Linked DNA regions of Caenorhabditis elegans. The protein of the gene in region 1 interacts with the protein of each later gene in a pairwise test. Each region holds a gene or a part of one and is shown in the gene's direction. Other genes may lie near its edges. The genes, in order: nhr-43, nhr-273 and hlh-27.

Region 1 (6,023 bases):
TGTATTCTCTATAGTTCACCGAAACAACGTTATTTCTCATTCATCTATATAAAACAACTTCGTTTTGTTTCTGATGATTGATAAATCATCCACGTCTTTGATAGCAACAGACTCATTAAATCTACCGTAATCCGTGTTTGTTTTTCAACAGGAAAAAAAAGAGTTTTCTTGTTCTGCAAAGCCTCTCCTCGCTACTGGTTATGCTTCTAAGAATGAATCATAATTTTTAAGTAAAGAAAACTACTTTTGTTTTTGTTTTCCTCCTTTAACATACTGACATCATTATCCAATACTGTAGTTCCTCACACCGTAACCCATGTCTACCCTTGTTCATGAGACTACCACATGATAAAAAGTGGGTAACATGAGCGAAAACTGGAATGAAATGTTCTATGAAACAAATCATTAAATGATGCATTGTCTCTCGTTGTTCACTATCATTGAATTGTTCTGATTTGTGCCCGATACAATTGACGGGGTTAAACTGTTTTATAGTGCAAACTGTAGAGAAGTTCAAAATGTGCCAGGAATTTTTTTGATTTTTTTTGTTTATTTTTTCATCTATAATATAATTCTAAAACGACGCATTTTTAATAAACCTAGTTTTTTCCCAAAACACTCTGACTCCCTTCAAAAAAATCAAAGTCTACAATTTAACGGGAGATCGATTTTCGATAATTCCGGCATTTTCGGCATTTTGGGATTCGGCAATTGCACGCCCACCGGAAAAATTCGAACATTTAAAAAATTCATAACCAAACTTTCGCATTTTACAACATTGTTTGCATTATTCAGTACATTTTGCCCCCTTTTAGCCTGTCACAAAACTGCCTAGCTTCGTCAGCGTATATCTCAATTGTAGTTTGTTTTATCAAAAAGTTGTCAACTAGCAAAATATTTTTCATTTATTTTTCGATACGTTTGTAGTTAACTAATTTCTGGTATCTTTGAAATTAACTGAAATATATGCTCTCAAAGTAAAGTACTTGTGAGCAAGATGTGCAGTTTTGATATTATTTCTACTTAAAAATTCAAATTTACTTGTAAAAAAGCAATAGTCTTACAGTTATAATCAATTTAAAAAATAGTCTTTCACTGAATATTACTAATTGTAGAATAGTAAAGTATATATAGTCTGAAACAATTAAAATAGGTAGTCCGTGGTCATCAATCAGTACGATAGTTTTTATTTATTTTCTTATCACGAAATTTTATCAGAGATCCTATATATGAAAGTGAAAACGGGAATTTTTTGATGATAAGTCATAGACCTCCCAGTTTGAGGAGGCTACATATTCATTGACAATTGGAATTGGGCGATTTGCAAGTTTTGTTCATCGGGTCCACAAAAAGTGGTATGTATAGTGTGCTAGAACATTGAGAATCTACTTTTACTTTCATAAATTTCCCAAGAAATATTTTGCACGTATTTGTCAGTTGACAAAATTTTGATAAAATCAAAGAAAACCGAGGTATACATATGTTGTCAAAGACTCAAAGTAGAACATTTGGGATTTTATTTTCTATTTGTAATTTATTTTAACCACCAGATCCATCTTAATGATTACACTGATTCTTCCAGCCTGTCAAATTGCAACTGTACGTAGTCTTATTATTTTCCTACTACTATCACATGACGTGGCAAGGCCAGAGACTTCGTTCTTTTTTCTGCAATCGACTGTTCGATGCGCCGAGGCGCGCAGAGATTTTGATCCGCATCTCAAATTGTGTTGACTTCTCACTACAAATATTTGATTCCCATGCTTGTGACGTCTTCTGTCCCCGTCTCCCGCCCTCTCCATCCGATATAATCCCACCCACCGCGCGCTCCGCCTCCTTTTATTCCGCCTCCAGTGTCAGTTGCAACGTTGGTGGCACACAAGGCTTGTACAAACTTGCATAATTTGATATAAAATTTATTTTTCTCCTTTCTTCTTTTTCCGATCATCGAAACCACACAAGTTGTGGTGATAAGTGCTGATATGAGATAGTTTCCACTGTATCATCTCTCTCTCTCTCTCTCTCTCTCTCTCTCTTCATTTCTCCTCACTTCCTCGCCGAATCATACAGAGATCGGCGTTCTCGAAACCCATCGATGACGTCATTGTTCCTTACAAGCCAAAGATTACAGTACTCCTTCTCCTCAATATCTCCTCTTCATTCCTTCTGAATCGGTGCACCCGCCTGTTTCCTGTGTAATGATTAGCGGCCCATTTCTTCACTTTGATCCAACTGTTCCACTCCAGACAGTCATGATGTAAGTTCTCCTGAAAATATGAAATATCAAATAAATTTTCAAATATAAAAATTCATCAAATTTTTTAAATTGCTTCAAGTACCATTTTGCATTTATTCATTTGAAGCAGTGACGTGCGGCACATTTACAAAATCCCCGTTTTCTCATAGTTGTGGCAACGGTTTTTGTTGGAAATTTATATTAAAAATACAGAAATATCTGTACTTTTTGAAAATAACTTAAAATTCAATAAAAAGTTTTGAAAAGTTGCTCGAAAACTTCTTCAGAGTCGTAAGATATGTGCCGATCAGCATATTGATATTTGAGGCAGTTTTTAAACAGCTTCTTGAAACTTTTACTTGAATGTAAAGTTGTTTTCATAGAATACAAATAATTCTGTATATTTCTATAAAAAAACGATAAGAAATGGCAAACGGCATTTGTCGCGCACCACTGATTTGAAGTGTAACTTCCTGGCTAGGCGATATCCACCACAATGACCAAGACCTTTTTTTTTTCATAAAATCAATTAATGTTGTAATCTGAAATCTTTAAGCGGACACCCGGCGACGTCTCCTTTGTCGCTTCCATCATCATCGTCTAGTCCGACCGTTGCCGACCCATCGAACATTCATTGCCGAGTTTGCGAGAGACGATACGACGGTTCGCAGCACTTCGGAATTGATGTAAGTTAGTGAGGAACACGAGGAGAATAGGTTAGAGAGGAAAAACCTAAGCGGAGGGTCGAGAAAATTTGGTGCTGATCATCAGATATTCATCTTTTCCGAAAAAGACTTGTTATTGGGTAATGCCTAGATTGTTTGTGATAGCCACAAAGTTTTCTAGGTCATCAACTTTAGATAAAACAGTTATAGACAGATTTTAAGATAATTTGGAAATGTGAGGGGTTGCCAGAAATAGTCATGGCCGTTTTTCTTATCTATATCCTTATCAAGTGAATCCTAAAAATAACTTAATTTTAAAGTTCGATCAATCCAGTTCAAATTCATTTCTCGCTCGAGATTTCAAGCCGATTTCTCTGAATACCGGTTTTCCAAGCCTATCCAAAGATATTTCGTTGTGAAGCTTTTCCCTGCTTCTCGCTTGACAAGATGAACATCTATTGATTTTCAGATTTGCCGAGCATGTGCCGCATTCTTCCGACGAAGTGTAGCTGTCAAGAAGACATTCGTCTGTAGACGTGGAACCAACAAATGTGAACTTAACAGTGAGTATTTCTAGAGTAACCCCTTTCCTTGGCAAATATAGATCAGTGACAAACCATTATTTTTCTAGCAGTGTCTCGAAAAACCACATGCCAAAAGTGCCGATGGATGAGGTGTCTTCTTGTTGGTCTTAATGTTGATGGTGAGTAAATATAAAAATTGTTGATTAAATTGAAATATGCATTGTCTCCAAATCAGCATCTAACATCACGCCAATTCAATCCAAACTGGAAATCGGTTTTAACATTCATGATTCGCTGCGCGCTAGAAACAATCCAGCACGGAATGAGTTCATTAAAACAAGCGCGAGAGATAGACACATAAAGAGAATATCAGTGGATGTGTGATGCTGCTACCCGCAATCATTCTGGTCTTTCCGAAGAACGAATATGTTCATCGTTGCATCAGTGAAACAGACAAAATATGATTGTTGGTCACAGTTTCCACCCAGCGAAGGGGGAGGAAGTTGTTGTAATAGTAATAGAGGTCATGAGAATAACATGTGAAATTGTAAATATTTCAGCAGTAGTTGGCCGACGATCACCCGACCATGTCAAGACAACATCAAGAGACGAATCAGTTAAAAAGGAAGATGAAGAATCGGATACTGGCTCAGAGGGTAAATCATGTGAAGATATGGATGTATCCCATCCAATTGAACAATTCCAACAACAAATATCATTTTCTGTGCACCGCCCAATTCCAACAATTGGAAATCCAAATATCTACACAACAAGGGCATCTCTCATTAACAAAGTACTTATCAACTATAAGTGAGTTTATTGGAATTCCACAATTCAAATTTATAATTTTCGTTTTTTCAGTGAATTCACCAAATCCCGCCTAGACGTCGAGCTTTCTCTCAAGCACATGCAACAAGATTCCAAAGTATTCGGATCAACTGGCATTCCAATTGTTCCAGCAACTCGTGAAATCATCTCAGAAATCTACCAAAAACAATTCGGGCTTCTCCATATTTTCCTCAAAAACACTTTCGACGAATATGCCGAGTGTGATGTCCAGGAGCAAAAGAGAATTTGTGCTATGTTTTATCCAGTTCTCTGGGAAATCGAGTCCTGCTACTGGACCTACCGTAATATGCCAGTTCAACCTGAATACGAGACTTTGATGATGTGCACTCAAACTACTTACATCGACTCGAAAAATGTTAGATACTGGCTTGGAAATACCACTGGATTGAATGAATCTGATATTCAAGCAGTTGAAGCGTAAGTTTCTTTGAATTTGTTTCATATTCCCAATTAAACATTTTCCAGTCGTTTGGAGAATCTTCTAACTAAAGCAAGAAACTTGGTTCTCGAGCCAATGCACAAATTGATCATCAAAGAATTCGAATTCATTACCCTTTTGGCTCTCAACATCTGGGCTCCTCGCAATCATCGCGGCTGTGTTTCCGAAGATCGCGCCGAGCAAGTTCGTGATGCTCTTTTCGATGATCTACATTATTTGTATTGTGATGGCTTGAAAATCGACAAGTATTCAAGTAGAATGGGAGAAATGATGTGTCTTCATACAGAAGTTCAGGTAATTAAATTTAAATTCGAATATTTGATTTTAAAGCTCACAATTTTCAGAATGCCGATATGTCCTCCACCATCAAGAATATCCTATTTTCCGATCTCAACGCCTACTTGTACTCAATCTAATTTTGTTTCCCTAAGGTTTCTATCCTCCCGAATCCCCTTTTAATATCCTGTAAATACTTTCTTCAGTTTTCAAATTCTCAAATTTGCTTTCACTATCAGTTTAAACTCGAAGCTTTTGAACATTTTCATCCTTCCAAATGACTATCTCTATCAAAAAATTGTGATCGCGTTCTGATTGCCATAGCTGATCTTTAATATTGTACCGTATTGTTCACTATATTTCCTTACCTCATAATAAACAACGAAATTTGATGTTGTTTAATCCTGCAGATCAGTGGCTGGTTTTTAATGTAGAACACAATGATGAAACATTGCCGAATGACGTGGATGATCGGTACATTTTTGCATCACAAGCCTTTTTAACAAAACAAGAAAAAAATTTTGTGAACATTGATAAGAAATAATCACCTGTTATGATTCATTTGATTAATTGGAAATACATTTTTGATTCTTGTATGACCTGTGAACTTTGGATCAACATCAATAGCAAACTGTCGCTCTTATCATTCAATATAAAATACTATATTTTTACGTAGGCCTACCTGCTTTCAATGTGATAGGCAGGCGCGGAAACAACTCAGGCGGCCTATTATAAAATAGTGATGTATGCCCTACTGTAGTTATCATTACAACAAACTTTCGTCGCGGCTCACAGTTGCTTGTAGATCTATCCTTATTGTATTGCACCACTCTGCAAAATATCTCCAAATTTATATCTCCGCTCAATCTCTCCAAAACGAATTTCTAAGTTGTCCAGGATCGTAACATGGAGTAGCTGAATGAACGCGTTTCATATTGCGATTAGCTTCTTCTTCCCGTTTCTTAAAGCGTTTTTGTATTCTGAGCGAAATTGGTTCAAACTGTGAATATCAAAAATAAATCTATGTAGGCGAG
Region 2 (4,191 bases), on another chromosome or scaffold:
TATACATGTAGCGGAAATAACGATTGTGATGTTACTGTTAGTGAGTAAAAATTAATTGACCTGTTTTGAGCCAAAATTTTGGACTATGTTATAAACTCAAAGGCATTCTGTAAAAAAAAACTTCAAAAAAATAAAACATTTTCACTAAGGTCGGGCTTACAAGCCTACATAAGGCTCAGTCTAAGCCTCTAAGCCTAGGCCTAAGCCAGGCAGACAGGCAAGTCGGCTTGTTCTCTAAGCCCAATTGAAATTATCTATCTTGATTTGTTTAGACATCAGATGCATGTGCCGGGCATGTCGACTTACCAAATGTATCGAAGTTGGAATGAACCCTGTAGGAGTTCGGCAGAAGCCTGGTAGTTTCCGGAAATCAAAGGAACTCATCTCTCCCAGTTCATCAAATCATGACGAGTTCAGTCGAATGCCAATACTTTCAAAAATGAAATTGAACTATGAAAATATGAGAAATGCCAGGAAAGCATTGCACAATGAAGTTGGAGAAAATGTATTTGAGGAGAAGATTCCAAAAGAAATAAATTATAAAGAATCAGTTCAGCAGGGAATGAAGGATTATACGCTGATGCCTGAATGGGTGTCCTCTTGTTTTGATGAGTTTCGAACGTTATCCGCTGATCAGAAAGTGAGTCGGAAAACTTAAATGGCTATTTTAACACATCAAATGTTTCCCTATACCTTGAGGCAAAAGGTAGCCATGTAGGTAGGCGAAAGGTGCGTAGGTAGGCCCTCAGAAATGTGGCAGACATGTAGGTAGGACATTTGCTAAGGCATGCAGCAGATCTAAATATAGCGGTGCCTTACAGCCGTACCTACCTGCTTGTCTACCTATTTCATATGCCTACGTAAAATGTCAAAACATTTTTGAGCAAATTGAACAATAATGAGGCTAAAACTAGACATGTTAAAAATACTTCTATTTTTGAATTTTCCTTTTTTGCAGAATATCTTGTTCCGCAACTCCTACATTCCATTTTTCATGATGGAAACTGCATTTTTAAGTCATATCAACAATATGCCGGACTCTGTCATTTTCCCATCTGGAGACTATTGTGACATGAAAAACTTGGAGCGATACTATAATTCTACAAATTTTGAAAAAAAAATCAGCACGGAAGATATTGAAAAGTATTAGAAAAGAGATGGTTAAACTTAACGTTTTTTTTTTCAAATTTTCAGCTTGTTCAAGCCGTTCTACGACAATTACAAGAGATCTTTGCTCCTCCCAATGATGAATCTTCAAGTTGACATCTATGAATTTCTCACACTTTTTACACTTCTCCACTGGGATACTGGCCTTGTTGAGATCACCGATGAATGTCTGGAAATTGGCACAAAAGTCAAAGCAGAAGTATTCAAGGAGCTGGATTTCTATTTGACAAATGTGAAGAAAGTCGCAGAGCCATCAGTTAGAATAGGGACAATTGTCAACTTACTTCCAGCAGTTCATAAAAGCGTACGGAGAATACAGGATGACATGGAGATGACTAAAGTCTTTAATATTTTTTCGGCGCCCAATGAGTTTTTTGATCTTGTTACTGGCAATTTCTGAGAATAAAAGAAACAAAATTCTTGTTTTATTTGTTTTACTAATTCAACTTACAAAGGAATACGTTTCAAATGAATGCAATATTGCCTCGTAATTTTTTTCTTTTCCGCCTCTCACTATTTATCAACAGAAAACCATATTTTATCTTTCTATCTCCATTATCAATCATTATTCTGCACTTTGTGTGTTCATAAACTATTGATTAATTTAAAAGAAAAAAATTAAATTGCTAGAATGGGACCACGACAAAAAGATAAGGATCAATCGAAATGCTCAATTTGCCGAGAACCTGGAGATGGGTTCCACTTTGGAGCAGAAGCTTGCAGGTACTTATTTATTTATAGGTCAGACTTTAAAACCTAGATTTCAGAGCTTGCGCAGCATTTTTCCGTCGAAGTGTGTCCCAGAGTAAAACATATTTGTGTCAAGGGAATAACGATTGCGATGTTACTGTTAGTGAGTATTTTTAAACTTCTGTAAATATTAACATTTAATTTTTAAAGTACAAAAAATAACATATTAATCAATTCCTTACACAGGCATGTTGTACCTTTGTAAAAGCAAAAGAAAATGTAACATATTTTTTGGGAAAAAAGGGACCGCCTGAAAAAAATCACGGTCGTTTTTTTGAAGTTGTTTGGACCAAACTTTGGATTAGTTTAATTATTAAAAATTTAATATAAATAAAATTCAGATATTCGATGTATGTGCCGTGCGTGCCGTTATGTCAAATGCATTGAGGTTGGAATGAATCCTGTCGGAGTTCAACAGAAACCAAGACTACCCAAAAACCGCAAAGAAGTTTCAATTGATTTACTCTCGAGCCCCCGAACGTCCAACTCATTGATGCTCGAACTACCACTTACGGGTCAAATGCCAATTCTCTCAAAAATCCGAGCAAGTTACCAAACAATGTGCAATGCTCGGATAGCGCTTCACAAGGCTGAAGATAAAACTGTATTTGAAAAGAGAACTCCAAAGGCAGTAAATTACAAAGAAGCGGTGAAGCAGGGTATGAAGGATGTCACGTTGGCTTCTGATTGGGTCTCATGGAGCTTTGATGAATTTTCCAACTTGCCGATTGATCAGAAGGTAGGTTTTTAGGTTTTAGCAGTTAAAGTGGATTGTTTTTTTCAGAGAATTTTGTTCCACAACTCGTACACCGCATTTTTCATTATGGAAAGTGGATTTTCGAGTCATTTGAACAATACACCGGATGCAATAACATTCCCATCTGGGGACTATATTGACACAAATGATTTGAATTCATTTTACAATGGTACAGATTCTGATAAGCAAATTTCCAGTGAAGATATTAATAGGTGAGTAGGAAAAAACTCGATCTGGAATATGTCGTTAGAATATTCCAACTATTCCTGAAAAAATCAGTTATGTACAACAAATCTAAAAAATTTAGACTCTTCAAGCCATCCTATGAGCGCTTCAAAAAGTCAGTGATCTTGCCAATGATGACTCTTCAAATGGATATAATAGAATATCTTGCTCTCTTCACAATGTTACTTTGGGATACTGGACTTATCGAATTGAGCGATGAATGCATTAAAATTGGCGATAAGATCAAAACTCAAGTATTGAAAGAACTCGATTTTTATATGAGGAATGTAAAAAAAGTCGAAGAGCCTCTTGTGAGAATTGGAACTCTTGTGAATATTCTACCAGATGTGCATAAAAGTGTTCGTAGGATACAGGATGATTTGGAAATGACAAAAGTTTTCAACTTGTATGCGCCGTCCGATGAATTTTATGATCTCGTGATGGGAAATTATAATTGATATCATATTTTAAGTTTTAACTAATTTTTACTCATTTTACGATAAATGTATAATATATTGACAATCTGCTTAAAAGACGGCCTACGCCTACCTGAAGGAGTGCCTAAAGCCAAAATAGACGTGAAAATTTGTTTCAACTCACTTTAGTGTACTTTGCTTCTGAGTACAGAAAATAGATGGTAGGTAGGTAGAAGGTAGGCATATATATAGTCAGATTTTACCAATTCTCCATTGACATTGAATGTATTTAAATCGAGCTGAAAATCGAAAATTTGAAAAAATTCTCTGAAAAAATGAGAGTATAGGGAAAGATGTTCAGTGGACCAAATAACCGCTTAAACTCGCTAAACTGAGTATCTTCAAACTGGCGTATCTCAAAAAAAAGAAATATTTTTTATTTTTATTACATTAATTATTATTTGAATACACCAACTATTTGTTGAGTTACACAGAGTCAAAGCCATTTTTCCAAAATTCACAAAAAATTTTGAGAACTCTTTTATTGTATCCTTTATAACTCAACATTCATTGAATTTCAAAAGATAAATTTTGTTAAATAGTAAATGAAAAATATTTTTCCACATTTTATCAGTTTTGTTTTTTGATATTTTTATGTATTGTCAAGTTACAGACCGTTTTTCAAAAAAATCAAATTTCCGCCATAAAACTCTTCATATACAACGTATCGGCTTGAAATTTTGAGAAATGATCATTTTTTTGAGGTCTCTACAATGTCCTAAAAAATCTTTCAAAAAACACTGTCCATCTCCAAAATCGTCCTTTGCTCCGAAAAATGAAATGGGACTTTTGCTTTTCGAAAAATGGGCCAAAAAA
Region 3 (3,976 bases), on another chromosome or scaffold:
TCGGATCAATCAGACTAAAGCTGCGATTTTTATAGATCTTGTTATCTCTATTAACAATTGCGATTTTTAAGTTACTTCAGAGTAACCAAAACGAGTTCAGGTTATTTTAAAAATAATGGATGGCGTAAAACAAAATTTTTAGAACCACTTTTTGAACCTAACAAAGTATTGGAAGTATTACCAACAAAAAAAGTTTCAGAACTCATTTCCCTAAAACAAAGGACAAAAACATTCAGGCCAAAGGCAACCCTGTATACAGAAATAAGACAGAAATTATCATCGTTGCAACGGGGGGAGACAACAAAAAATCAGAATTGAGAAAGAGCCATGCACCATGAGTCAGGGATTTTTCGTTATTAATAGTTTTTGATAAAATTTGTCCCTTTTTGTTGAAGCTGAGGAGGCTTATTGATTTGAAAGTTTGTTCACATAACCTTTTAGTTGGCAATTGGTACACTTTGGAACACTGAAAACGGAAATATCAGTTTCAGTGATTTTGATTGAAATTGAATACTAATTTCCTCACCAATTACATTCAATCACTTGACTTGACTTCGCTATTAATTTATTGCTCATAGTTTCAGATCTTACCTTCACATCTGCTACAAAATGGACCGCAGAAAGCTTCAAAAAGAGGCAAGAAGTGAAATGAAAAAGGTGAGTATTTCAATCTCGTTCTGAAATTCAACTCATCTTTTATATTCAGACCGCCAATGGCGTCGACCGTGCCACATATAACCGAGCAAAGGCTCTTTTGGAGATAATCCGGAAGGTTAGAAATATACATTTATTCGTCATCACATTACATTTCTAGAATGCCTAGGACCGTTTCAAGACATCTGTGAGAATTATGGAAACCCGCCTTCAGGAAGAGATTGCCACAAATGATCTGGCTTCCTCCACGATCTCCAAGGTGAGTCATGATAATTTTGACTCGGCAAGTTTCCAAAAATTGTCTTCCGTCGTTGTACGATGAAATTTATGGCTTAATATATTAAAGAATAAAAAATAAAAAATTGTAATTTGGGAGACAGATGTGAGTATATTTAAGGTCATAGCTACTGCCATAGGATTACTGTAGCCAATATTCCAGTAGCTGAACTATTCCACGGGCAATCTCCGTTGTTATCATGATACTGTATGATAATTGTAATAAAACTAAAAATCGTTTCTGAGATCATGAGCGAAGATCAAATGAATTTATTGGCGGGTTATTATAAGGCTACTGTCGTGATACTGTAGTGATACTGTTGCCGAAATTCATATCATTGGAGCAAACAGGGAACACAATTTATATTATAAATCGTCCTATCAACTTTCAAACTTATGTCGTTTCAGTCACGCCATGCCATTTTTGCGTCCATAATCGAAGAGCTCAAATCAATTTCCTCTCACTTTTGCATTCCAGCTCTTCCAATATGATTGTTCTCCATATTTATTCTGTTGACCACTGTCAATTCAAAATAGATATCTTCTTATATAAAAATTATGTTCGAAGAAACTGTTGCAAATCAATCTTGTTTAGAATTACTGGCAAAATAATTTCAGTTGTTTTCTCCTATTTTATTTCTTTTCGAGATATTTCTGTTTAAAATGTTGTTCATCCGGTACAGTTGATACTACTATAAACTTATAGAATAAATTAACACAGTGCCAATATCCTAATTCACAGTCTCAGCCGGAATTTCCCAGGCAGTACCCAATCGATATCCAGTCGTCTAGTTTCGCATGGTCCCAAGACAAAACTGGAGATGTCCAGCCTCGTTCTCATGAGAACCTCACTGATGAACCATGGGAACCCATGATGGGGACTGTAAAAATAGAGATTTCAGAATAATTCCCATGGCTCCAAACGCTTGATACAAAGCTCCACCCTCTGAACAATAATGGAACTATAAAAGGTAACCATTTATTCATTGTTCATTTACTTTCTTGGTGGATCACTGGTCTGCTGGTTTAGTATACTTTTTGATAATTGTAACATCAGGAAAGTGTACTGATTTTGATCAATTACTTTTAAAGCATTCAGTGAACTGTATACTTCTAGAAAAACAGCACGAGTTATCTCACTAAACTAAATCAATTTGTGCTGCTTTCTTGGTCTCATTTTTCTGTTTTGTCACAATTATTCCTTTTATTTAACGGCTCATCTTGAAATTTTATAAATTCTAGATTTCTTCTTGATTTTAAAAAGATTAAAACTTATCAAATTTCAGATGCCAAAAGTTATCCCATCTTCAATGAGCGATTATCGTTCCGTCCCATACAATCAAACTCCAAAATCAGGATCTGAACGGAAAAGAAGAAATATTACAAACGAGTTGATTAACGAATGCAAGACGATTGTTCAAAAATCAGAAGAAGAACATATATCGTAAGTTTAAATACTCTGTTAGCTTAAAATAGTTATTAAACTAATTCATTTTTTAGACAAGAAGTAGTTCTCTTCCGAATTGTGAAACTTGTGACTGGAGTTAATCTGGAATCTAATTTCTCATCGAATGACCTCTCCGAATCTACAAGACGGAAGTTTGATACTGAATCCGAAAGAAGAAAAGTGAAGACTGAACGTGAAAAGATTCGAAGAAAGAAACAAGATGACTGTTATGCTGAATTGAAATTCTTCATTTTGAACAAACAAATGGGAAGTTACGAGCAACGGTAAGAGTTTCATTATGGCTAATAAAAATTCAAAAAATTATTTTCAGATTAAAACTTGAACGGATCACAATTCTAGAAATCATCATTGATTACATTAAACACAATTCCGATCTTCTGTATCCAGAAACAATTCCCCAAATACTTCCTCTTTTAGCTGGAAAATCAACTGCTACTTGTGAGAACAAAGAGAATGAAAAGCCAAAAACACGAATGGAAGTGAAGGATCTCTTCCCAAGATTGACGTTTCAAGAAGTTCAAGAATCCCCAACATCTACTTCTCCATTGCTCACATTTCCATGTATTCCAATGATCCCAACTACTCAGTTCAATGTCTTGTCAAACTACAACACCGTTCCATCAATATTTTCTGCTCCCCTCCGATTCATTCTTCCATCACTTCAAATCTTAACACCAGAAACTAGTGACGAGGAAGAAAATGAAGAAACCGTCGATATTAGTAACTAGTCTATCAAGTTCTTCCAGATCTTACAATTAGTTTCTGAGCAATTTTTCGAAAATCTTCATTGTCTATATTGCGTTTTTGATTCATTTTTTTATCTTTCTATGGCCAATATTCCCGAACTTTTTCATCCCATCGCGTCGCAATCTATTTTTGAAGATTTTTTACTACTCACGTGATAGTCTTGTCTAAATTATTCTGTTTGAAAATGAATGTTTATTCGGTAAAATTTGTTAGCCAGAATACAAGCAAGACAAGTATGTATAATCAAAGTTCCATTAGTCCACACCAAATTCCATCTCCCAGTCATACGGAAACTCTTCAATGTCCTTGTCTAGCATCACTTTTTGCAGTGTTGTATAGATCATCTCATAATCGGGCTCCTTGAAGAACGAAAGACTGTCGATATAGCTGGAAATGGAAAATTACGAATAAATCAGCTTTGGTAGAGACTCACTTCATAATCAAGCGAAATTCATCTGGGCAGCCAGCAAGGAATTGGCCCATGATCGGTTGGAAGCGGGAATTCTTCTTCATCGCACCAATCTCGCCAATCTCATTTACATTTTTCCAGGGAAGAGCTGCATTGGTGAAATCGACGAGCATGTAGAACCTAGAAAAACACATTTTCTCAAATAAAAACTATTATTCTTATTTTCAATTCTAAGTGATAACCCAATCTGGCCTTCTGGCATCTTTACAGAATATATCACATAAATGACTAGTTCTTAAATTGATTAAACTAGCCAGCTTTCCAAATCGTCCTTCAGTCCATGTTCCGCCGTATTATGTGATGCAAGCGGTGCATATCGAGGGCTTCCACGAAATGGCACAGTTTTTCTTGGCTCGAGCATC

The links.
Region 2: the proteins of nhr-43 (region 1) and nhr-273 interact in a two-hybrid assay, tested with the Caenorhabditis elegans proteins (one large-scale study listed by BioGRID).
Region 3: the proteins of nhr-43 (region 1) and hlh-27 interact in a two-hybrid assay, tested with the Caenorhabditis elegans proteins (one large-scale study listed by BioGRID).

The regions. Positions count from the first base shown.
Region 1 is NC_003282.8:11,897,531-11,903,553, forward strand, and holds nhr-43 (Nuclear hormone receptor family member nhr-43), read left to right. Parts: upstream 1-2,129; 5' UTR 2,130-2,198; coding exon 2,199-2,257; intron 2,258-2,792; coding exon 2,793-2,922; intron 2,923-3,370; coding exon 3,371-3,464; intron 3,465-3,532; coding exon 3,533-3,604; intron 3,605-3,712; exon of another isoform or gene 3,713-3,843; intron 3,844-3,985; coding exon 3,986-4,235; intron 4,236-4,286; coding exon 4,287-4,691; intron 4,692-4,739; coding exon 4,740-5,007; intron 5,008-5,057; coding exon 5,058-5,129; 3' UTR 5,130-5,380; downstream 5,381-6,023. UniProt on the Caenorhabditis elegans protein: Ligand-activated transcription factor. Positively modulates expression of homeobox protein lin-39, perhaps by binding to the sequence motif 5'-TGAC-3' in regulatory regions of the lin-39 gene, acting in the embryo, and also in the vulval lineage.
Region 2 is NC_003280.10:4,433,581-4,437,771, forward strand, and holds nhr-273 (Nuclear Hormone Receptor family), read left to right. Parts: upstream 1-1,719; 5' UTR 1,720-1,798; coding exon 1,799-1,890; intron 1,891-1,934; coding exon 1,935-2,020; intron 2,021-2,258; coding exon 2,259-2,656; intron 2,657-2,701; coding exon 2,702-2,886; intron 2,887-2,981; coding exon 2,982-3,357; 3' UTR 3,358-3,418; downstream 3,419-4,191. Other genes in the region: nhr-109 (NR LBD domain-containing protein), read left to right, coding at 1-40, 273-640, 959-1,143, 1,195-1,567.
Region 3 is NC_003280.10:5,538,450-5,542,425, reverse strand, and holds hlh-27 (BHLH domain-containing protein), read left to right. Parts: upstream 1-2,212; 5' UTR 2,213-2,216; coding exon 2,217-2,374; intron 2,375-2,430; coding exon 2,431-2,661; intron 2,662-2,708; coding exon 2,709-3,126; 3' UTR 3,127-3,351; downstream 3,352-3,976. Other genes in the region: C17C3.24 (uncharacterized protein), read left to right, coding at 851-913, 1,339-1,422.